6 linked regions of the Xenopus tropicalis genome follow. The protein of the gene in region 4 purifies or fractionates together with the protein of the main gene of each other region. This does not show direct contact. Links are inferred from orthologs where the notes say so. Each region holds a gene or a part of one and is shown on either strand. Other genes may lie near its edges.

The links.
Region 1: the proteins of rprd1b (region 4) and uri1 purify together in Homo sapiens (affinity purification with mass spectrometry; 3 studies listed by BioGRID and IntAct, with this or other methods). This does not show direct contact. The link is inferred for Xenopus tropicalis from reciprocal best matches to the Homo sapiens genes RPRD1B and URI1.
Region 2: the proteins of rprd1b (region 4) and pdrg1 purify together in Homo sapiens (affinity purification with mass spectrometry; 3 studies listed by BioGRID and IntAct, with this or other methods). This does not show direct contact. The link is inferred for Xenopus tropicalis from reciprocal best matches to the Homo sapiens genes RPRD1B and PDRG1.
Region 3: the proteins of rprd1b (region 4) and rpap2 purify together in Homo sapiens (affinity purification with mass spectrometry; 5 studies listed by BioGRID and IntAct, counting the BioPlex papers as one, with this or other methods). This does not show direct contact. The link is inferred for Xenopus tropicalis from reciprocal best matches to the Homo sapiens genes RPRD1B and RPAP2.
Region 5: the proteins of rprd1b (region 4) and rprd2 purify together in Homo sapiens (affinity purification with mass spectrometry; 4 studies listed by BioGRID and IntAct, counting the BioPlex papers as one, with this or other methods). This does not show direct contact. The link is inferred for Xenopus tropicalis from reciprocal best matches to the Homo sapiens genes RPRD1B and RPRD2.
Region 6: the proteins of rprd1b (region 4) and polr2c purify together in Homo sapiens (affinity purification with mass spectrometry; 3 studies listed by BioGRID and IntAct, counting the BioPlex papers as one, with this or other methods). This does not show direct contact. The link is inferred for Xenopus tropicalis from reciprocal best matches to the Homo sapiens genes RPRD1B and POLR2C.

Annotation. Positions count from the first base shown.
Region 1 is NC_030680.2:71,244,142-71,247,641, forward strand, and holds part of uri1 (unconventional prefoldin RPB5 interactor 1), read right to left. Parts: intron 2,128-3,500; coding exon 1,947-2,127; intron 840-1,946; coding exon 578-839; intron 1-577. UniProt on the Homo sapiens protein: Involved in gene transcription regulation. Acts as a transcriptional repressor in concert with the corepressor UXT to regulate androgen receptor (AR) transcription.
Region 2 is NC_030679.2:29,800-33,861, reverse strand, and holds the start of pdrg1 (p53 and DNA damage-regulated protein 1), read left to right. Parts: upstream 1-1,262; 5' UTR 1,263-1,293; coding exon 1,294-1,383; intron 1,384-1,651; coding exon 1,652-1,727; intron 1,728-2,490; coding exon 2,491-2,565; intron 2,566-2,840; coding exon 2,841-2,921; intron 2,922-3,177; coding exon 3,178-3,260; 3' UTR 3,261-4,062. UniProt on the Homo sapiens protein: May play a role in chaperone-mediated protein folding.
Region 3 is NC_030680.2:104,537,919-104,542,149, forward strand, and holds the start of rpap2 (putative RNA polymerase II subunit B1 CTD phosphatase RPAP2), read right to left. Parts: upstream 2,801-4,231; 5' UTR 2,712-2,800; coding exon 2,657-2,711; intron 1-2,656. Other genes in the region: glmn (glomulin), read left to right, coding at 3,930-3,968.
Region 4 is NC_030686.2:39,351,733-39,355,232, reverse strand, and holds part of rprd1b (regulation of nuclear pre-mRNA domain-containing protein 1B), read left to right. Parts: intron 1-54; coding exon 55-184; intron 185-1,151; coding exon 1,152-1,288; intron 1,289-3,500. UniProt on the Homo sapiens protein: Interacts with phosphorylated C-terminal heptapeptide repeat domain (CTD) of the largest RNA polymerase II subunit POLR2A, and participates in dephosphorylation of the CTD by RPAP2. Transcriptional regulator which enhances expression of CCND1.
Region 5 is NC_030684.2:127,642,418-127,645,782, reverse strand, and holds the end of rprd2 (regulation of nuclear pre-mRNA domain-containing protein 2), read left to right. Parts: coding exon 1-1,561; 3' UTR 1,562-2,865; downstream 2,866-3,365.
Region 6 is NC_030680.2:76,281,164-76,284,663, reverse strand, and holds part of polr2c (DNA-directed RNA polymerase II subunit RPB3), read left to right. Parts: intron 1-677; coding exon 678-806; intron 807-2,248; coding exon 2,249-2,300; intron 2,301-3,500. UniProt on the Homo sapiens protein: Core component of RNA polymerase II (Pol II), a DNA-dependent RNA polymerase which synthesizes mRNA precursors and many functional non-coding RNAs using the four ribonucleoside triphosphates as substrates.

The sequences.
Region 1 (3,500 bases), on a different chromosome or scaffold from region 4:
TAAAATTGCTGTTGGGAAAAGGCGCCCTTCCAATAAGAGAGACCTGGAGCAGTTTGCAGCAAGAGTGGTCCAAAATTCCCGGTGAGAGGTATAAGAAGCTTATTGATGGTTATAGGAAGTGACTGATTTCAGTTATTTTTTCCAAAGGGTGTGCAACCAAATATTAAGTTAAGGGTGCCAATAATTTTGTCTGGCCCGTTTTTGGAGTTTTGTGTGACATTATGTCCAAATTGCTGTTTTTACTCCCTTTTTTGTTCTGTTCCAATACACACAAAGGGAATAAACATGTGTATAGCAAAACATGTGTATAGCAAAACATGTGTATAGCAAAACATGTGTTACTTACTCTTCTGTGAGAAATACTTGATTTTCTGTAAAAATTTCTGGGGTGCCAACAATTTTGGCCATGACAGTATATTTTTATGAAAATGGCTTATTTAGATGAAGCAGGTTTTACATGTGAGCTTGTTCATGCAATATATTTTTATAGAGCCCTACATTGTTTGGGAGTATAGTTTTCCTTTCAAATGCATAACTACCCTACCGCATTATACCTTACAGTTATACTTATACTTACTCTTTTTGGTTCAACTGTGTGCAGAAAATGTATGGTTGCCACAGAGTTTTTAATGAAGCCGGAGTCATCTTCACCATCACTCTGGTGTGAAACTGAAACACTGATACCACTGGTGTTCACTGCCGACTCTGATTTTGTATTTAGATAATTTCCCTGAGTTGGAGATTCTCTCACTTCTTGGGACACATTAAGATCAGTTTTTCGATTCTCTTTGTCTTCTTCAGAAAATCCTAGATCTATTCCATTTTGTATCTCATCAATACTGCAATAAATAAGAGCATACAGAACATATAAAAATATATATACCTGTAGGGATCCCCAAAATTGGCCCCCAGGAGGATTCCCGTTTAGACAGGCACTAGAGGGTGGCCTCATGGGATTTGGACACCTAAAGGTGGTCCTAGTTGTTTTTGTGTGAAAAAGGGAGTTTCCCTGTAGTTCAGGCAGTGGCCACTGGGTGTGTTAGAATATAAAAAGGGAAGATTTTCTGGTTCAGCAGGTTTTCTGCCTGGGACCTCCTTTGGTAGAGGGGTGAATAACAGGCCTGTGTTTAGAAAGCAGTGTGGGAAGTGAGAGATCACTCTAGGAGTGATAGATGGGTTATTTAGTAAGGGCCGACATCTCCCCGACAGGAGCCAGTGCGATTAAGATCCCCCAGCACTACATCGCTGGAGTCAGGGGGTAGGGTATAGTTGTCAGTATGAGGGGATTCCTAATCCAGTGGGTGCTCAGGCATGAGTACCGGGGTGAGGTCTCAAAAGGGGTGTCCGCTTGGCGGGAGTACCGGGGAGAGCCCTACAGAGGGTCTTCCGGCGCGAGTACCGGAGGGAACCCCAAAAAAAGGATCACCTGGTGGGAGTACCATGGGTAGCCCCAGGGAAAGAGGTTTTCCAAAGAGAAGTGTGTACCCTGACTGCAAGTGTGCTTCTGGATAACCTGGCTGTCTGTTCTGTCTACAATAAATAAGTTCTACTGGTTAAGCATCATACCAGTGTCCTGGTCTCTTCATACAAGGAGGATCATCGCTGCTTGGTAAGCGGCTACCCCAAAGGGAAGGGGCAAGGTAACGGGAGTAGCAGCACTGTCACAAAAGTGGGCTACATACCTTTGTGTCTTGAGAAAGGTCCCTTACTTACTATATTATATATTTATATATATATATATATATATATATATATATATATGCGCTTTTTCCACTTCCTTGGTGATCTGGCTTTCATTATGTTGGCATAATAAAGCTTTATACAAGCTTTTTGAATACTGTTCAGTAATATACTTTAGTTTGGCACCAAAGGTGATATCTTAATCAACCTATAAATTATATTAAATGGCTCACACATACAAATGGGAAAAAACAAATACAGCTTACTTATTAAGCTCTCCACGTAACTCTTCTTCCCGTTCAAGCTCTTCCAATCTTGCCCACAGTTCCTCATTGTCTAAAAACGTGGTTTTAGGTTTTGTTCCCATTTCATGTTCTGCAACCTCCTCTTCAAAACAGTCAGGTACCTTTGGTTTTGAATGAGGCTTGTGTGCAATGCGGTGGCTTCCTGTTAAGAAACTCCTAATGTTACTAAATCAAAAGTTTCATCCACAAATTGAAAAAAATCTGAAATGCCTCATTCTGAGATTTAGAGTATAATTTTAAAAACATCCTACTTAAAGCTTGGTGTCCATTTATGCAGTTGATTACTGGTCATATTTTCCACCAAACAACATACCTGGAGCAAAACATGACATTAAAGGAGAAGGAAAGGCTAAGTCACTGGGGGTACCAAAATGTCTGACTTCCCCCTCTTCCTTACTTCAAAGGGAGCGCTCACTCTCCAGTCTTGTTCCCTCTGAACTCCCCTCTGCCCTGATCAGGTCTTGCTCCCTCTGCCACTCCCACCTTTCATCACCGGTCTCCCTCCCTCTGTTCCTCCTACCCTCTGTTCCTCTCAAGTCTTGCTCTGCCTGCTGATTCCAACCTGCATGCAAAAAAACCACCAGTGCATAGGGACTACAGAGATAGGTAAAACTGAATGTTAAAAAAACAAGGGGAAGGAAAAGGAGGAGACTTAAGTGTGTCTCTGCAATAAAATAGAGCAAACACAGAGTTCCTTGAAGACACTGTCCATAGAAACACTGCAGAATGTTATGGATAATACACCCCTTACTATAATTTAAAGAGATATTGGAAGTCACCTCTGACTCACATGACCTGTATAAAAGCACTTGGCATGCGACCTCGTGCTTTTATATGGTCATGTGACTCCTCGGTGACTATATATATATAAATATTATATTTGTATATCTATAGTAATTAAAATATATATTGTAAATAAATATTTGCAATGCCATATTTAAAACGGACAGCACAAATAAAAATGTTGAATTATATTTGCACATCGAATACACCAATCTTGCCAAGCTTTCTAAACAAACACATGTAGGTCATATCTTAACACTGGGCAAATCATTCTGTGCAGCACAAAGTTTATAAATGAGCCCCACTGGTTCGTATTTTAACAGTGCTACTTTTCTTTGTGATTATGCAACTCGTTTATTTCTATTGCCATCCAAAATCTTTATTCTCATTACAAGTATCCTGCTCTAGTAATAAAAGATGCAACAGAGAATCTTTCTTCAGCTTTGCTATGAATTTTAATCCCTCTTAAAACAATTGGCCTTGATAGCAAAGAGCAAGAGATCAATGCAGCAAAACAACTAGATGACATTAAAGCAGTCAATGTAATGCAAATTTCACAGAGCGGTAGGGAAAAAAAAGAAGTGTTTATATCTACATATATATGCACTCATATACAATACAAATGCAGGCACATATAAACATACATAAAGAAGGTGGAGGAAGGTAGTCTGCGGTTTATATAGTATTTCGGATGTTACAGAGACCAAGCCCACTGCAAAGTGATGAATCAAA
Region 2 (4,062 bases), on a different chromosome or scaffold from region 4:
GGGGAAGGGGCGCTTAAGAGGTGACATGATAACTATGTATAAATATATAAGGGGATCATATAATAACCTTTCTAATGTTTTATTTACCAGTAGGTCCTTCCAACGGACACGAGGGCACCCACTCCGTTTAGAAGAAGGGAGGTTACATTTAAATATTCGGAAAGGATTTTTTACAGTGAGAGCTGTGAAGTTCTGGAATTCCCTCCCCGAATCAGTCGTACTGGCTGATACATTATATAACTTTATATAGGGGCTGGATGGATTCTTAGCAAGTGAGGGAATACAGGGTTATGGGAGATAGCTCTCAGTACAAGTGAAGGAATACAGGGGTATGAGAGATAGCTCTCAGTACAAGTGAGGGAATACAGGGGTAGGGGAGATAGCTCTCAGTACAAGTGAGGGAATACAGGGGTAGGGGGGATAGCTCTCAGTACAAGTGAGGGAATACAGGGGTAGGGGAGATAGCTCTCAGTACAAGTGAGGGAATACAGGGGTAAGGGAGATAGCTCTCAGTACAAGTGAGGGAATACAGGGGTATGGGAGATAGCTCTTAGTACAAGTTGCCCCAGGGACGGGTCCGATTGCCATCTTGGAGTCAGGAAGGAATTTTTTCCCCTCTGCGGCAAATTAGAGAGGCTTCAGATGGGGTTTTTTGCCTTCGTCTGGATCAACTAGTAGTTAGGCAGGTTATATATAGGCATTATGGTTGAACTTGATGGATGTATGTCTTTTTTCAACCCAACTTACTATGTTACTATGTTACAGTAGAACAGCCCCTTCCTACTGGTTTGCCCTGCTCCCATGTACAGTAGAACAGCCCCTTACTAATGGTTTGCCCTGCTCCCATGTACAGTAGAACAGCCCCTTCCTACTGGTTAATAAATTTCTCCAGCAGGGGCAGAGCAGCCAATCAGAGAGAAACTATAACTCCCAGAGGGAGCAGTAACTGTTCTTTCACTCTAACTCCCAGAATTCCTGCTATTAAAACTACTATTCCCAGAATGCCCTGACAGCCGCTACAGCCAATCGGTGGCAGGTCCCTGTAGCCCCTCCCTCGCAGTGTCAGACGCTCAGGCAGTTCTGCAGAGTCCAATCCAGAGGTTTCTTATCCTCCCACGCCAGTCTCTGGGCCGAAAGCAGCGAAGCATTTTGGGAAGCCACCGCCCCCTTCCCTCTCCCCGGTACAGCTTTGCGTTCCAGATTCCCAGGCGCCTGCTGATTGCGTCATAGCGACTCACTTCCGGCAGGCTCATCGTGGGCTCCCAGTACACACTTCCGGTTGCCGTGGTTGCCATGGAGCAGTTTGGGGGCCCGCAGAGAGTGTTGTCCTACCTGCAGGAGGTGGAGGGGAGAGCGGAGGATGTGCTGGGGAAGCGGCGGCAGGTGGGGCCGGGGGTAACATGGGGGCCGGGGGGTAACATGGGGGCCGGGGGGTAACATGGGGCCGGGGGGTAACATGGGGGCCGGGGGGTAACATGGGGGCCGGGGGGTAACATGGGGGCCGGGGGGTAACATGGGGCCGGGGGTAACATGGGGGCCGGGGGTAACATGGGGCCGGGGGGCTGGGGGTAACATGGGGCCGGGGGTAACATGGGCACCGCTGGGTAGTAAGGGTCACTGCTCTGTATAACTGTGTGTCATTCTGTCCCAGATTGTGGATTTGGATATAAAGAGAAACCAGAACAGAGAAGCCCTGAGGTCTCTCAGCAAGGACCCCTCTCCAGCAGGTAAGTGAGAGGCACTGGGGGGCTGCAAGGACCCCTCTCCAGCAGGTAAGTGAGAGGCACTGGGGGGCTGCAAGGACCCCTCTCCAGCAGGTAAGAGGCACAGGGGGGCTGCACCTTGCCAGCAGGGTAAGTAGGCAGCACAATACGCTATGGGGGGGAGTGAGGGTGAGATTGCAGGGAGGAAAGGGCTACTCCAGGGAAAAAGCCAGCCCTTAGCGCTACACTCTATTGCCCACAGCCAAGGGGTCCTTGGTGTCTGGAAGCCAAAGCCACTGCTGGAGACAGGAAGGAAGTGATGGTACCCCGTAATGTGTGTCATGTGACTCATTTAGAACAAACATAAATACTGGCACAACAGGGCTGTTTCAGCGGGATGAACCCTGCTATCTTATTAGGTGCAAACCATGTACAGTTTCGGGGTGCGCCCCTTCATGCGACTTCCAAACATTACATGGTTTGCACCCCGTAAACTAGCAGGGTTCATGAAACAGCCGTGTTGTGCCCGTGTTTATGTTACAGCAAAGGCTGCCAATCACTCGATACTCAGCACCAGGCAGAATGTATGTGCCAAGGCCAGGGTGTACCGGTGAGTGTTACAGTTCATGTTACTAAGTTAGCACAGGTTGCAGGGATCAAAAATGCTCCAACTGAGCAAGGATTGGGTTAACGGTCTGAACTCTTTGTGCTGCCAGCTTGTCATTCCTTTTTGAGAAAGAACAGTTGTTAAGTGCCCCAATGGGTTCCTTTCTGTCTGTGCTTGTAGGAAGGGTAACTGTCTGCTTTGGGAACATGTTCATAGAGCTCCCCAAGAGCAAGACCAAGGAGATCATAGAGCGAGGTGAGTGTGGGGGTACATAGAGTGAGTGTGGGGGTACATAGAGTGAGTGTGGGGGTACATAGAGTGAGTGTGGGGGTACATAGAGTGAGTGTGGGGGTACATAGAGTGAGTGTGGGGGTACATAGAGTGAGTGCGGGGGTACATAGAGTGAGTGCGGGGGTACATAGAGTGAGTGCGGGGGTACATAGAGTGAGTGCGGGGGTACATAGAGTGAGTGCGGGGTTGATGGCAGGAAGGGGAATCACAATGTGTGTTTGTACCATTCTCTCCCACAGACCAAGAGCAGCTGGATAAAGAGATTTCAGGGCTTCGCAGGGAGCTGAAAGTGAAGGTGAAAGAGCTGTACGAGGCCCAAGGTGAGACTCAATAACACAATCTATTAGACACCCCCCCACCAATGATGCAAATTTGGCCCAGTTTCATTATTGATACTCTCTGAGCCCATCAGTAGGGTGAGCAGTGCTCCCCAAATAACACAGACTTGTACCCACACAGTGAGAGTTACATGGGTACAGGCTGGCCCTAGTGCTGAGGTTCATGTTCGCACAGGATGACCCCATTGCTACTATTGGTTCTGGCTTGGCACCAAGACTCTCGTGTTTCTGTTGGCAGGAAAGCCAGAGCTAAAAGGCTTCGACCTGGTGGCACTCTCGACAGAAGAGATGAAATCCATTCAGAAGGCGCTGGGAGAATGAGGCTCTGCTAGATAACAGCATTTGGGGCAGATCATCCTTATCTTGGGCCCTCACAGCGCAGGGACTTTAGTTCCTACAGTACGGATCTATCTGAATCAGATGAAAGAACTTATAGTGCAACATGAATGTTACCCCCAGGTGCAGAACCTCTAATTCATTACAATTTGATTAACTCCTTGTTCCTTGGATTTATGTACAGTGCAACTTAGAAGACACTTAGCCTTTAATTCTGAGGAGCAAGGTGCAATTGCCATATTTAGGGGTTAATTTATCTACTGCTTCTTTTCTAACTGGATTCAGTTCATCCCACAATCCTGTGTATTTGTACTGTGCATAGACTGGATGGCTCTACCCACTGGTATCCTTGGGGCTCACGCCTGCACCCCGGATGTTATTTGAATCATATGGGTGTGGCTCACTGAGGCCCCACTAGCTGGAGGGCACACACAAAGGTTGGACTGAGCTGGGAATCCCCATCCACCATCTTATCTGAGCTTTGTACCTATAACTCTAACACTCCTTAACACGTTATATCTGATGGGCTCTGCATGGCAGGCTTTGTGGTGGCCCCCTGCAGGGCCCAGTCTTTGCTTTGTTGGAGGGAATAAAGCTAGGGTACCTGTCAGGACTGTGCGTAAATATCTGTACCCCATTATATAGTAAAGAATAAGTGATTAACCCCATTGCTGCTGAGCTGCTAGTGACACAGTCACAGAAGTGCTGGCAGGTCACCATGAGCCCGTCAGAATGGTTGCTGTGTAACCAGAACTCATGTCTCCTAGAGGACTTTAGGCCGGCAGTG
Region 3 (4,231 bases), on a different chromosome or scaffold from region 4:
AATTATTTAGCAGTACTATGTTGCTTTAATGAAAACTGTGCATGGCTTCCAAGAAAACCTTTGTTTTAGGTCTGTCAGATGACACAAAGTAACACATGAAAACTTAGGGTAAAGTTAAAAGTATTTTAGACAGTAGAGGCATAATTTAAGCTTAAACTGTTAACACTAATTATTTATTAAAACAATATAATATTTTTTTAAAGTTGATTTCCTTTAATTGTTTCAAACCTACAGCAATTGTTTGTGCATGCATGTATTTGCAGGTACTCATGTGTGCATGATTGTAGCTATACACCGGCTAATGTATTTGCAGGTACTCATGTGCGCATGATTGTAGCTATACACAGGCTAAAGTATTTGCAGGTACTCATGTGTGCATGATTGTAGCTATACACAGGCTAAAGTATTTGCAGGTACTCATGTGTGCATGATTGTAGCTATACACAGGCTAATGTATTTGCAGGTACTCATGTGTGAAGAATTGTAGCTATACACCGGCTAAAGTATTTGCAGGTACTCATGTGTGTATGATTGTAGCTATACACAGGCTAAAGTATTTGCAGGTACTCATGTGTGCATGATTGTAGCTATACACAGGCTAATGTATTTGCAGGTACTCATGTGCGCATGATTGTAGCTATACACAGGCTAAAGTATTTGCAGGTACTCATGTGTGCATGATTGTAGCTATACACAGGCTAAAGTATTTGCAGGTACTCATGTACGCATGATTGTAGCTATACACAGGCTAATGTATTTGCAGGTACTCATGTGTGCATGATTGTAGCTATACACCGGCTAATGTATTTGCAGGTACTCATGTGTGCATGATTGTAGCTATACACAGGCTAATGTATTTGCAGGTACTCATGTGTGCATGATTGTAGCTATACACAGGCTAAAGTATTTGCAGGTACTCATGTGTGCATGATTGTAGCTATACACAGGCTAAAGTATTTGCATGTACTCATGTGTGCATGATTGTAGCTATACACAGGCTAAAGTATTTGCAGGTACTCATGTGTGCATGATTGTAGCTATACACCGGCTAATGTATTTGCAGGTACTCATGTGCGCATGATTGTAGCTATACACAGGCTAAAGTATTTGCAGGTACTCATGTGTGCATGATTGTAGCTATACACAGGCTAAAGTATTTGCAGGTACTCATGTGTGCATGATTGTAGCTATACACAGGCTAATGTATTTGCAGGTACTCATGTGTGAAGAATTGTAGCTATACACCGGCTAAAGTATTTGCAGGTACTCATGTGTGTATGATTGTAGCTATACACAGGCTAAAGTATTTGCAGGTACTCATGTGTGCATGATTGTAGCTATACACAGGCTAATGTATTTGCAGGTACTCATGTGCGCATGATTGTAGCTATACACAGGCTAAAGTATTTGCAGGTACTCATGTGTGCATGATTGTAGCTATACACAGGCTAAAGTATTTGCAGGTACTCATGTACGCATGATTGTAGCTATACACAGGCTAATGTATTTGCAGGTACTCATGTGTGCATGATTGTAGCTATACACCGGCTAATGTATTTGCAGGTACTCATGTGTGCATGATTGTAGCTATACACAGGCTAATGTATTTGCAGGTACTCATGTGTGCATGATTGTAGCTATACACAGGCTAAAGTATTTGCAGGTACTCATGTGTGCATGATTGTAGCTATACACAGGCTAAAGTATTTGCATGTACTCATGTGTGCATGATTGTAGCTATACACAGGCTAAAGTATTTGCAGGTACTCATGTGTGCATGATTGTAGCTATACACAGGCTAATGTATTTGCAGGTACTCATGTGTGAAGAATTGTAGCTATACACCGGCTAAAGTATTTGCAGGTACTCGTGTGCATGATTGTAGCTATACACAGGCTAAAGTATTTGCAGGTACTCATGTGTGCATGATTGTAGCTATACACAGGCTAAAGTATTTGCAGGTACTCATGTGTGCATGATTGTAGCTATACACCGGCTAATGTATTTGCAGGTACTCATGTGCGCATGATTGTAGCTATACACAGGCTAATGTATTTGCAGGTACTCATGTGCGCATGATTGTAGCTATACACAGGCTAATGTATTTGCAGGTACTCATGTGCGCATGATTGTAGCTATACACCGGCTAATGTATTTGCAGGTACTCATGTGTGCATGATTGTAGCTATACACAGGCTAAAGTATTTGCAGGTACTCATGTACACATGATTGTAGCTATACACAGGCTAATGTATTTGCAGGTACTCATGTGTGCATGATTGTAGCTATACACCGGCTAAAGTATTTGCAGATACTCATGTGTGCATGATTGTAGCTATACATTCTAGCTATAGTATAGTATAGCATTCTGAAGCACTTGTGTCACAGCAGGGCGCACTCACACAAGGCTGAGTTACTTAGCGGGACAAACCAGTTCATTTTTAAAATACATATTTATAACAAATGTGAAGCAATAACGTGAGAGATGATGGTGATGCCAACACTAATTCTGTACATCGCTTTACACTGGAAGTTTTCAACTCTGCGTTAGACCTTATACAAGGGGCAATACTCAGTTCATATGTGCACATGATTATGGGCATCCCCTGCTAATAGTCTGCAATGAATAGTTTAGAAATCCCTTTCTTATCCGCACCTGAATGTTTTGCCCGAGCCTTCCTTGATTTAGACATATTCCCCCTTTCCGCCATGTCCCACACCAGCAGACAGCCTCCCACTGGGCGGAGCTTTTGTTCCACACCTCGATATGGTCGCACCCGGAAGCAAAGCAGCAAAGCGTGTGGAACGCTATAGTGACAATTCTACAGGTCACGTGTCCTGAGATTTGTACATTCTGTTTCATCTGCTGGAACGTTGCGATCGGCTCAGTTTCATTCAGGTACGGTACAGCACAACTCTTTGCACTTTAGAACTCATTAGAATTACTTTGACTTTAGCAAAAAACGGTTATAGATCTTATGTGTTGTCAAAGTTAAACTGTGATGGATTTCAGGTAGACCAGCTCCACTCCTGTCACAGTGAACAAGAACTGACTACTTAGAATTAAAAATTCCATTTTCAAAAACCACATGAAACTTGTCACCTGTCACTTTCCATTATGGACAATAGAAACTGCTGAAAATATGGCACACATGCTTGAAACAGCCATCTGCATTTTTACATGACTGTCTGTACTAGAGTTTATATAAAAACCCTGGTGTGTAGCCATGGGGGCAGCCATTTAAAAGAAGAAAAGGCACAGGTTATACAGCAGCTAACAGATAAACCCTGTAGAATACAATTGTGTCTTATCTGTTATCTGCTATGTAACCTGTGCCTTTTTCCTGCTTGAATGGCTGCCCCCATGGCTACACACCAGCTTATTTATATAAACTATGTTAGGGCTCTGGCACACGGGGAGATTAGTCTCCCGCAACAAATCTCCCTTGTAAGTCGCCGGCGGGATGGCACACGCGGCGGCGCGATTTCCCGAAATCGCCGAAAAAGACTTGTGAGTCTTTTTGCGGGTCATGGCAACTCGGGGAGATTAGTCGCCCGCGAACAGGGAGTTTTGTCGCGGGCGACTAATCTCCCCGTGTGCCAGAGCCCTTAGTGTTTCTAAAGCAAACACACTAGTTGTACCAGTGCAGGGCAACAGTAAATTATATTTTAATTTACTTAAAATCAGCTTCATTTTTTGGTTCTACTGTTCCTTTAATGTGCATTTATGCTTGTTCTACAATACATGTAAACATTAGCCAGCAGGTACCATAAGGAGTTACCATAATGAGTTTAATTTATCTGCTTTCATCTGTAGAACCTTAAGACATAATCTGTAAACCTTATGTCCTTTTCTTCTGATTTATCTGCCATTTATATTTATATTTGTGCAGGCATCACCCTTTTGTGCTCATGCTCTCTTGTGTGATATGGCAGCTGCAGATTTGCAATCTTTAACTGAGAAATTTGTAAGTACCTATAGTATCATAGGCTTGATTATTTAAAGTCTGCTAATTAAAATGTTATTTATTGTTAACTTTCTGTGACATTGTGGTAAAATAGCCATAATTCTGTGCATTTGTAAATATAGGATATAAGTTATACAAACACCCTGGGCATTAGTCTATGCACCACTGCAGAAATAAAGATCGATATATGATACAAATAAGACATTAAGGGGCATTTACTTACAGCATTGGAATGGGTTGTCTGGGGCCAACCACATAGCATA
Region 4 (3,500 bases):
GATGAAATACAGTATGTGCAATATCTAACCCTGTGTTTTCTTTGTCGTTTCTAGCCAAGTCAAGCCGGAAGCTGACTTTCTTGTACTTGGCCAATGATGTTATTCAGAACAGCAAACGAAAAGGACCAGAATTCACCCGCGAGTTTGAAAATGTGCTCTTGGATGCCTTCTCGCATGTGTCCAGGTATACCCGGCATTGTGTTTTTAATATACAGAGACATATATTTAAATATGAGGTAGCATATTATTATTATTGTGCAATTGATACTTTGTATATGTGAGGAGAAGTGGCCATAGTGCTTGGTTTGTCATTCTCTTTAGATATCAAATGAAGATCACCATCTTGTGGTCATAAATACATAGTGCTTACCTTAGAAATTTATTGTAAAAAAAGAAGAGTCGGCAAATCTCTAATGCAAAAGTGCAGAGAGGCAAAATTTTATACGGACACAGTTATTTCCTTATATTTTGTAGTTAAAGGGAACATAAACAGAATGTGACTGTAAACAAGGCAATTTCCTTCTCTCTAATCTTGGCACACTTAATTTGGGCATACTGCTCCATTAAATCCATAATATAGTAGCGTTTACCCCCTGAATGTTATAACATGGCCTTTCAGGCTAAACGCAGTTTGCTGGAAATCTTAACAGTTGTTTATTGAAGAGTGAGGGATGAAAGTAACATCCATTGTGTCCCTCTGATTCCATGTCTGGCACGCAGTGTCACTGGCTGTGTTTCAGCATCACTCCTCCAACTCGCCATTTGCCACAACCAGCTGCTCACTCCCACCTCTTCATGTCTGTGATTGGGCGCCCTTAATAAGTACAAAGGAACACTGATTGAAAATTGACCAAGCACAGTAGATAATTGATTCATTACAGTGAAATTGTGTAGGAAATCCAGAAGCAGTATGGATGCCAAGGGTCATATAAATATCTCAATTTATTGTGGATATATTTCATTTGTGAACACATTTTGTATCCAGCTGTAATGCTGCTCACGTATGCACTACCATTTTGGTAACCTAGCAGTGTGTCCCATATACTGTATTCCTCTCACATACTGGATTCCTCCCATATACTGGATTCCTTTCTTTTGGCATCTTTATATCTCCATTGGCCAAGCATACCCACTTTTCTTCTCTCCCGCAGCGAGGCAGAGGATGGGTGCCGGAAGCCTTTGGAAAGGTTGCTGCATATCTGGCAGGAACGCAGCGTTTACTCGGCTGATTTTATCCAACAGCTCCGACTGTCAATCGAAAATGATGAGAGCCCCAGGGAAACACCAGGTACATTGTCTCCATCTGACCCTTTGTTCAAGCTTTGTTTAATTCTATATATTTTTCTCCCAAAGCAGCAACTTGGCCCAGTTTGGTTCTGATTACAGAAATGCCCATTGGAAATTTGCAATTGGGACCCTCAGGCTTTATGAACATATATACTGTGACCTATTAAGGTTTTGGGGTTATAGATTGTAGAACAATTGGTTACCTGAAAGCAGTTTTAAAGCTGGCCATACACGCACCAATAGTATCGTACAGAACCTTGTTTTGTATGACATTTGGTGCAAGTATGGTGGATTGACGTGAAGACGGATATCGCAAGAGTGTTGGATATTGGTCGTCTTCTCGATCGGGCGACGTTGAAGGCGCCTGAGCAAAATCTGCATTTAGAGTCTTCAGGGGGAGGTAGAATCCCTATTGACAATACTGACAATTGCCTCTGCTAAAACACACGTAGAGACATTTTTCAGTAAATGATCAGCATTTCCTGTTTTAGTAACTGTGACATGTGACATAAATCTTCGTTGCTGCGGGCGACTAATCTACCTGCAATGCCATCCCACCGGCTACAATGTAAATTGCTTGTGGGATGGCATACGCGTTATGTCCCGCACTCGCCCAAAAACTACGGGCAATTTACATTGATGGCATTGCGGGGAGATTAGTCGCCCGCGACAACGAATATTTGTCGCGGGGTGACTAATCTCCCTGTGTACCCCTGCCCTAAGGGTGCTACAGAGCTACTAGTAGCAGCTACTTTTTCACAGCTACTAAAACTGGAAATGCTAATCATTTACTGAAAATTGTCTCCAGAGGTCCTTATGATTATATCCGTACAATTTGGCCAACCGCGAGGATGGACACATGAGACAGACATATTTGGTGATCTGTACAAACTAGTTCTTTCTAGGCCAAGCTCTAGATTTGTGTCTGTATTATGTTTATTATATTTTTCCTTTGACCAATGCTATTTGTGTTCACTTGGGAAGTGACTGCCAGCTTTGCTACTAGGAGGAAGTGTGCATCACAAAGATGAGGGTTTTGTACAGGAATAGTGTTTTCCTTTAGATTTTGGGCTATGGAAGTTAGTGATAGAAGGGCAAGTGGTTCATTTAAGGTCATAAATACCTGCTATATTTATCATTGAACAGAGTTACAGCAATTCCCTAATTCTAAATTGGGCCAATCATATGGAGGTTTTCAATAGTCATTGCTTAATTTAAACCTACATCCTCCCACCAGTGCTAATGGGATGAACCATCTGAAGTGATCCACTAGGTTCAATGCCCCCTACTGCTGCAGAGAAAGCTGGGATATAAGCAATGAATTTACATCAGCGTTATAGGGGAAAAAAATACGCCCAGTCCTTTCTTTAGGTCATATTTCATCCTCCTGTAGTTTGAGGTAGATCAGTTCCACCACGGAAGGGCTCAGAAGCGTAATGGCGCCAGTCCCAGAGCTGCAGCGCCCGACTTGTCTCCTAGAGATAAAGAAAGTCTTTGGGCTCGCTGGAAGAAGCCAGGCCGGCTCATTATGGAAGCAAGAGAATTATTTCTGGAGTGTAAAAACTGAATAATTTAATAAAGATTTCCCTGCTGTGGGATTAAAGGGGATGATTGCCCGCTGCTGTCTATCAAAGTGGCGTTTTTTGTTTTTTTTTACACAACGTAGCCTTACATTTGGAAAAGCATACACACTTGCTCATTTCAGCGGGCGCCAAGTTAATCTCTTACAGCAGGACTGTAGCCCTAGGATAAGTAGTAAATGGCGGCTGACATAAAATCGGTGACATGTGGGTTAGCGGCGCATTGTGTTCCCTGCCGTTGCTTTATGGCATGTGCAATTAACGCCTGCTTTCTTACAATTCAGGTGCTTTCCCCTGATAAGATGAAGAGCTAGCAGTACTGGGAGGCTCCCAGAATGCACTTGGTGCTGCCCTCGAGCAGACAATAGCAAGGCTCACTGCTGTCAGGAGAATAATGGGAGTCGCCGGCTATTCTTAGGAATGACTTATGTTCGCAAGCATGGCTCCTTTCTTCTAAGAGATGCCTTTCTCCCCAGTCAAAGATCATTTTAGAAATTACTTCAAGTTGATTGTTGATAACAGTATGTGTTTTTACCACCTTAACCCAGGCCTTTAATAAGCTTTTGTATTTCTCTAATCAGAGTCTGTGCCGGGTACTGTTATGTGATCATAGGTTATGGAGCGATATATAAA
Region 5 (3,365 bases), on a different chromosome or scaffold from region 4:
TATATTCAGTCAGTCCCAAGATTTTGGCAGGCAGTCGTTTCCACCTTTACGTTCTTTCAGCACGGGCGAAAACAATGCCCAATTGTCCCCATCTACTCAAATGTATGAAACTTACAACAGCTTAAGTAAGCTTGAGGCTCCTAAATCTCCCTCAACCCCAAAGGATGACCCATTTTTCTCCTCTGACAGTCATAATTTGCCAGGGTTACATTCTGGTATGTCACGAACTCCATATACAGATTCTCCCCGTACTCAAAATAGATCCCATGCTTTTACCAATAAGAATACTAGTAGACCACCAATGTCAAATATGGAGCAAACAGACAATGATGTGTCAGCTACTTCAACTATTGAATTTAAAAACATGCTTAAAAATGCATCTCGTAGGCCATCTGATGAGAACCAATTCAACCAGTCGGGCAAAGGCAATTTTAATGAAGATGTGAAAATTTCTGGCCTTGGTCATACTGGTATGACCTCTGAAGAGAGACAGCTTCAAGAGGAGCATTATCGCATAGAAACAAGGGTGTCATCTTGTGTTGACTTACCTGACAGTGGTGAAGAAAAAGGTGCTCCAATTGAGACCCTGGGGTATCATAATTCTGGAAACATGAGGATTTCAGGGGAACCTATAAAAACCGTAGAGTCAGTAAGAGTTGGAGTAAAGGGGAACAGAGGACTTGGCATAGATGGAGGTCGAGGGAGTTGGTTTGAAATGGGTAGCAGAGGTAGTCCATTTAATGACGGTCCATCCAGTGCTGATGATGAGCCATCAGTAAGTGGCAGCAGTGGGGTAGGAGGGTTTGAAACACAGTATGATGAGCACTTACCACAGTTTCAAGACACTATCAGTGAATTTAGAGCAAAATCTATGCAGGCGTTTGAGCATCGCTTACCTCCGCCTCCATTACCACCATCCATGGTACCTCCTTTAGATCGTGGAGGACCATTTCAAAATGAGCCAGCTGGCCCCCCATCTGTTCCACCCCCTGGTTTACCACCTGATCGTTTTTCAAGGGACATGCCTCCACATATGCCCCCTGTAGAAGCTATCTTGTCTCATGGTACTCACCCTCCACCCAATGAACATGGAGGCAATCCTTTCTCTGGACCTCCACCTCCAGAACATGGGGCAAATCCTTTTTCTGGGCCTCCTCCTCGAGACCAAATTGGCATGCCATTTTCCTCTCCGCCATTAGATATGCGAAATCCTTTTTCACCAGACCATGGAAACATTCATCAATCAATGAAGGATCATTTTGGTTTGGGCCCAGGACTACAGAGAGACCTTGGAGCTTTACCTCGTGATCACAATGGCCCAATGCTTGGTAGATTAAATGAAACACAAGTTCATTCTAGAGACCATCTTGGAAACTTTAGTGCTCCTCCACATCATTTTAATGCACCACATCACAGAGACAATGTTGGTGGCCTCAGATCGCACCGACCACAATTTAGGCCCAGGGAACAATATCAAAGCTTAAAAAGGCCAAGGCCACCTTTTGCACGAGGTCCACCATTTTTTACCCCAAAACGTCCCTTCTATCCCCCAAGGTACTGATACAAAAGTGTAAAATCATTAACGTGCATTGGTACTGGTCCACATTGGCTGTTATTTGGTCAGGGAGTTTTGTGTTAGTTGAAAATAGCTTAAACCTGGAAAGCTAACAACAAGATTTTCATTTTTCCTGGTGTAAGGCCACAGATATAAAGTCACTTTACAAAAAGTTGACTTTTTAGTGGAGGAATTTTTTTTTTTTTTGATTGTAAGAAACACCCATCCATTTGCCCACCCATTCTGATGTCTACTTCATCAACCAGTCAGCAGCTGGGTGAATATTGCAGTTGTCCTGAAGTGAAATCTGATGCCTAAATATTCATGTCTGAGTCACAATATGGAGCCAGTGAACTGTTTCGTCTGCTCAATTCTCAACACCTCTGAAGCCTATCCTGAATCAACCCATTGCTTTCTTATATCCAGATAGGTGAGTCACAGGGGCAGTTATAGGGAGGCTAGTCTATCTGAGGTCAGATAATTGCGTTTTTGTTTTGATAACAAGTGTTAACATTTCCTCTTTAGCATTGTTGCAACACCACAAACCCTTTCTCTTCACACCACAGTGAATCAGGGGAAAAAAAAAAAATAAAGTCTTCAGATGCAATTAACCTGCATCATTCCACCATTCAGTTTCAGGACTTGTGCCGGCTAAGACGTGTTCCAGTCCATACTTCTCGGAGCTTGAGGAGCAGAGTTTGAAGACTTGGTGGTGTTAATAAAACTCCAAGTTGTACCTTATTCATTCTGTGTTTTCGGCAGTTGCAAGGTTAGATGTTCTTTGTAACCAATTAAGGTTTCGAGTAATGCAAGGTTAAATACACAGTTGTATGTATCAGTCTACAACACAATTCTGAATGACCAACATAACCTTTATCCATGCATATGTCTATATGTGAAATTAATACACTTTTACCTTGTGTTATAAAGACCAGTGAATTTCATTTAATGTCTTCAGCATGACTTTTTCACAAGTGCTTGCGTTTAATCCATGAGGTACCTTCTAACATGGGCTAATGTTAAGCACTCGGACATTGTTCCAGTTGATAGGTAATACCCCTTTCTCCTAATTATTCTTCACAAATGTTTTGGTGGGTTCTAACACAAATTAATGTTGTAATGTTCTTAATTTAGTGTTTGAGAGCAACATACGTTGGTCAGAGTGTAGCATCTCTGGACCGTAAGAAAGAAAATGTAATTTAAAACAAACAAACCATTCAGCCATTGCTTTGCAGCAAAGATTTTTTGGGTGACACTGGGCGTGCAGTTGTTTGACAGCATTTTCACATTATATAAGGAAACTGACATTTCATATTTTCTCTTTGCACTTATATGACTGAATCTTGTACAGAATATGAATATGTGAGGGGCTGAACTCCTGTCACACCAACTGCTTTGTACAAGTTGCAAATTTGTTAGTGAGGAAAGGATACTGAAACTTAATTTATTAAGAACTGCTTGACAGAAAATTGGGCTTAGAAGCCCCTGTTAGGACGTACTCGTCAATCACACAGCCATGGAATATATAAATGGGCAATAATAAGTCAGACAAGATAATAACTTGCGTTTTGTATCTAAATTGTATTTAATGCATGAAATGTTTCATACCATTGAATATTAACAGAGGGTAAAAAGGCATAGTTGTATTTAAGAAATGAAAATTTGTTAATTGCTCATGCCCATACTGCGTTCAGAGCCCAACACAAGAATTTAAATTAACATTGCTCACAAATGGAACTAGCAGAAAATTTAAAGGGGTTGTTCACTTTTGGTCTTCATTTTTTATTATTTCTCAAATTGTGCAGCAGCT
Region 6 (3,500 bases), on a different chromosome or scaffold from region 4:
TGCTAAGTAATCTATGTGCAGTCATCTGCCTTTAATGAAACTCAGGTATTATGCCAAGCAGGGTGAAAAATAAAAGATTATCAACTAATGTATCAAATTAGAACAGTGGCCCCCTATTCCCCAGCTGCTCTATGGAGACATGAAAAGGCGAAATATGAAACTTCAATATTAGAAAAACAGAAAAAATAAAAGCAGTTGGGGGAAAAAAAGCCTTTATTTCTGGTGTACTATCTGAAGGTGAGCGACCCCTTTAGGCTCATGGCTCACGGGGAGATAAGTCGGACATGGTTAATCTTTGGTATCGTGGGTGGCTAATCTCCCCCAAATGCCTTTCCACTGGCATCAAAGTGAATTGCTGGTGGAAAGGCATACACATTGCTTCATTTTTCTGGAGTCAAGTGAAGTTTCCTCCTGCAGGCAACTTCACGTGACTTTGGAAAATAAAGCGCCGCATGCGCCTTTCCAAATCACTGGTGGAAAGGCATTTTAGTGAGATGGATATACATTTTCTGATCAGATGATTACTAGGATGAATTTCCAAATCTTCAAGGCTGAGATTTTATTAGCTCATTTTGATCTGTTCTTCAGACTTCTATCTAGGCTATCTGTAATAAAACTTGCCATAGCTTCTTGCTCTTACAATGCAGTTTTGTCTTCTCCAAAAATCTTCTGACTAGGATTGTACATGTGATGAGTTTTGTCCAGAGTGCTCTGTGGAATTTACTTTGGATGTCCGATGCAATGAAGACCAGACACGCCATGTGACCTCTCGTGATCTTGTCTCAAACAACCTCCGCGTTATACCAGTCAGTCTCCTGTTTTATTTTCATTTTGCTCAGAATTGATTATGTACGTTAGTGATGTGTTTGGATACTGCTGAATCTAATCAGCCACTTTACCAAATCCATAAACATTGAGTTTAGTACATCCCTAATAAGTTGGCTTTAAAAAATGTTTATTTCCTTTAATGTTCAATTAAAAATGTTAAAATGTATTATTTTGCTCCAGAAAGCTTTTTTTATGTTTTATATATATATATATATATATATATATATATATATATATATATATATATATATATATATATATATATATATATAGAATAGCTGTAGAGAGAGTCCGCACTCACAGGTCTTAAGAAAATATAGAAGTTTTATTCAAATCAACATCTAACGTTTCGGCTGCATCCACAGCCTTTCTCAAAGACAATGTGAAACAAACAATGGTGCACTGAAAAAATCGAATTTGGCGCCAAACAATGACGTCATAGGTGTGAATACATTAGCATACAGTGTGAAAAAAACGCTCTCAAAACACATTGAATCAACAAAAAATGTTAAGATAATATGGATTAGGCATAGAACACAAACAAAAGGACTGTCAGGGGAAAGGAAAAGTGGGTGTGTATTAAAAAAGCCCGCTTATGTATCTAGTTTTTTTTTTAATACACACCCACTTTTCCTTTCTCCTGACAGTCCTTTTGTTTGTGTTCTATGCCTAATCCATATTATCTTAACATGTTGATTCAATGTGTTTTGAGAGCGTTTTTTTCACACTGTATGCTAATGTATTCACACCTATGACGTCATTGTTTGGCGCCAAATTCGGTTTTTTCAGTGCACCATTGTTTGTTTCACATTGTCTTTGAGAAAGGCTGTGGATGCAGCCGAAACGTTAGATGTTGATTTGAATAAAACTTCTATATTTTCTTAAGACCTGTGAGTGCGGACTCTCTCTACAGCTATTCCATCTATTATTTTGGGACTGCGCTCCCTTGGACCTACTTATACGTGAGTGCCTGTCTTCTTGCAACATATATATATATATATATATATATAATTTTTTTTTTTTTTTTTTTTTGTGACTGAAGGAGCCCTTAAGGTGAAGTAACCCCTAGATAGGGAAATAGTGTAACTGAGGGGTGCCGTTGTGCAAATAAGGTCGAACTGATTTAAATTGTTCTGTTATTAAAAATTGTTTAGTTCACTGGTTTATTGTGATACTAATAACCCAGGCAATGTCTCCTCTGGTGTACCAAATCACTTTCCTGAGTTAAAAGGCATTAAAAAGGAATTAAAGGGGCTGTCTGCCTTTCATTCACTTTTTCAGTTTCCTTCTTTTCAGATTACTCAGGTTACAAAGTTGGTAAACACTGTTCACAAAGATGCTGACAATTTATTTTTTTATTTATTTTTCTATTTGCTTAACACCTTGAGTGTCACCTGAATAGACATTTTTTTCCTTGCAGGTGACATCACGAAGCAGAGACAATGACCCTAATGACTACGTGGAGCAAGATGGTGAGTTTTTAGATATAAGCAGTTGTGGGCCAAATGTGAGGTGCCAATAAGGTAAGCCCAAACCCTTGGGCAGCAATGCAGTGGCAACGAGCAGAGCATCCCTGCTATTTACTATTGCATAGTCGCCTCCCTCGCCTGGTCTGAGAGTAGGAATTATAAAATGATGAATTAAAAGTAGGCAGGAAGATGAGGTATATGCCTTGCACTCCCCCTTCCTCTGTTGTGCCCTAGGCATGTGCCTCTTCTGGCTACCACTAGTTCCATCCCTGGATATAAAGCTTCTGCCTCAATTCACAGCAGCTGAATGCTTGCCAGAAAGTAGTGTGGCTTTTTGTTTATTAACAATAACAGCATTATTATGCATTAATATGCAATTTACTATGTGTGTCAGTTTGGTAGATACAATGCTAATGTAACACTTTCTAATTTCTCTTGCATCTTAGGGCACTGTACTTTGCTCTTAATTTATGAATACAGACTGAATTAGCGCCTTAGTGCTATATGCAGTGTGTATGAAGCATATATAAGTGTAACTACTTATGTGAATTGCTTTAAATTCCTCACCCAAGGCCTGGTCACCAGCCCAGCTAAATCAGTCATTCTGCCAGTTGTCCCACAACAGTTGCCAGATAACCAATCAAATATACCTTTCCCTATGGTTCAGCAAATCACTTACCTAGGCGTTGTAATTAAACTCCCCCTATCAGAATACAACCTAACTGTACTACTGGTTAAAAACTATATACAAAAGAAAAATAAAGCATGGGAATCCCTCCTAATTGGCCCAATGGGCAGAATACATCTTATCAAAATGATACTCCTCCCCACACTAACTTATGCCCTCTTGCAAGCCCCTTGTGTTATTAAAAAAGGGTTTTTTACTGCAATAGATACAATATTTAGACAACTAATATGGGCTGGCACCCGACATCGCCTAGGCCTGAATACTCTGATTAAAGGCAAATCTAAAGGGAGAGCAGCATTCCCGAACATATATCTATACTACATAGCAGCCCAACTAAGCCACATAGCATCTTGGGTTGAGGATGCAACCCATTAGTCACTGTACCATCTACATAAAGCCCTACTAGGGACCTGCTATACCCCCTTTCAGTGGCTACTTACTTAAGGACCCCAACCAATAGCATACCCCAACCAGGTTATTATGCATGTACGTCAAATTTGGCAAAAAACGGTACA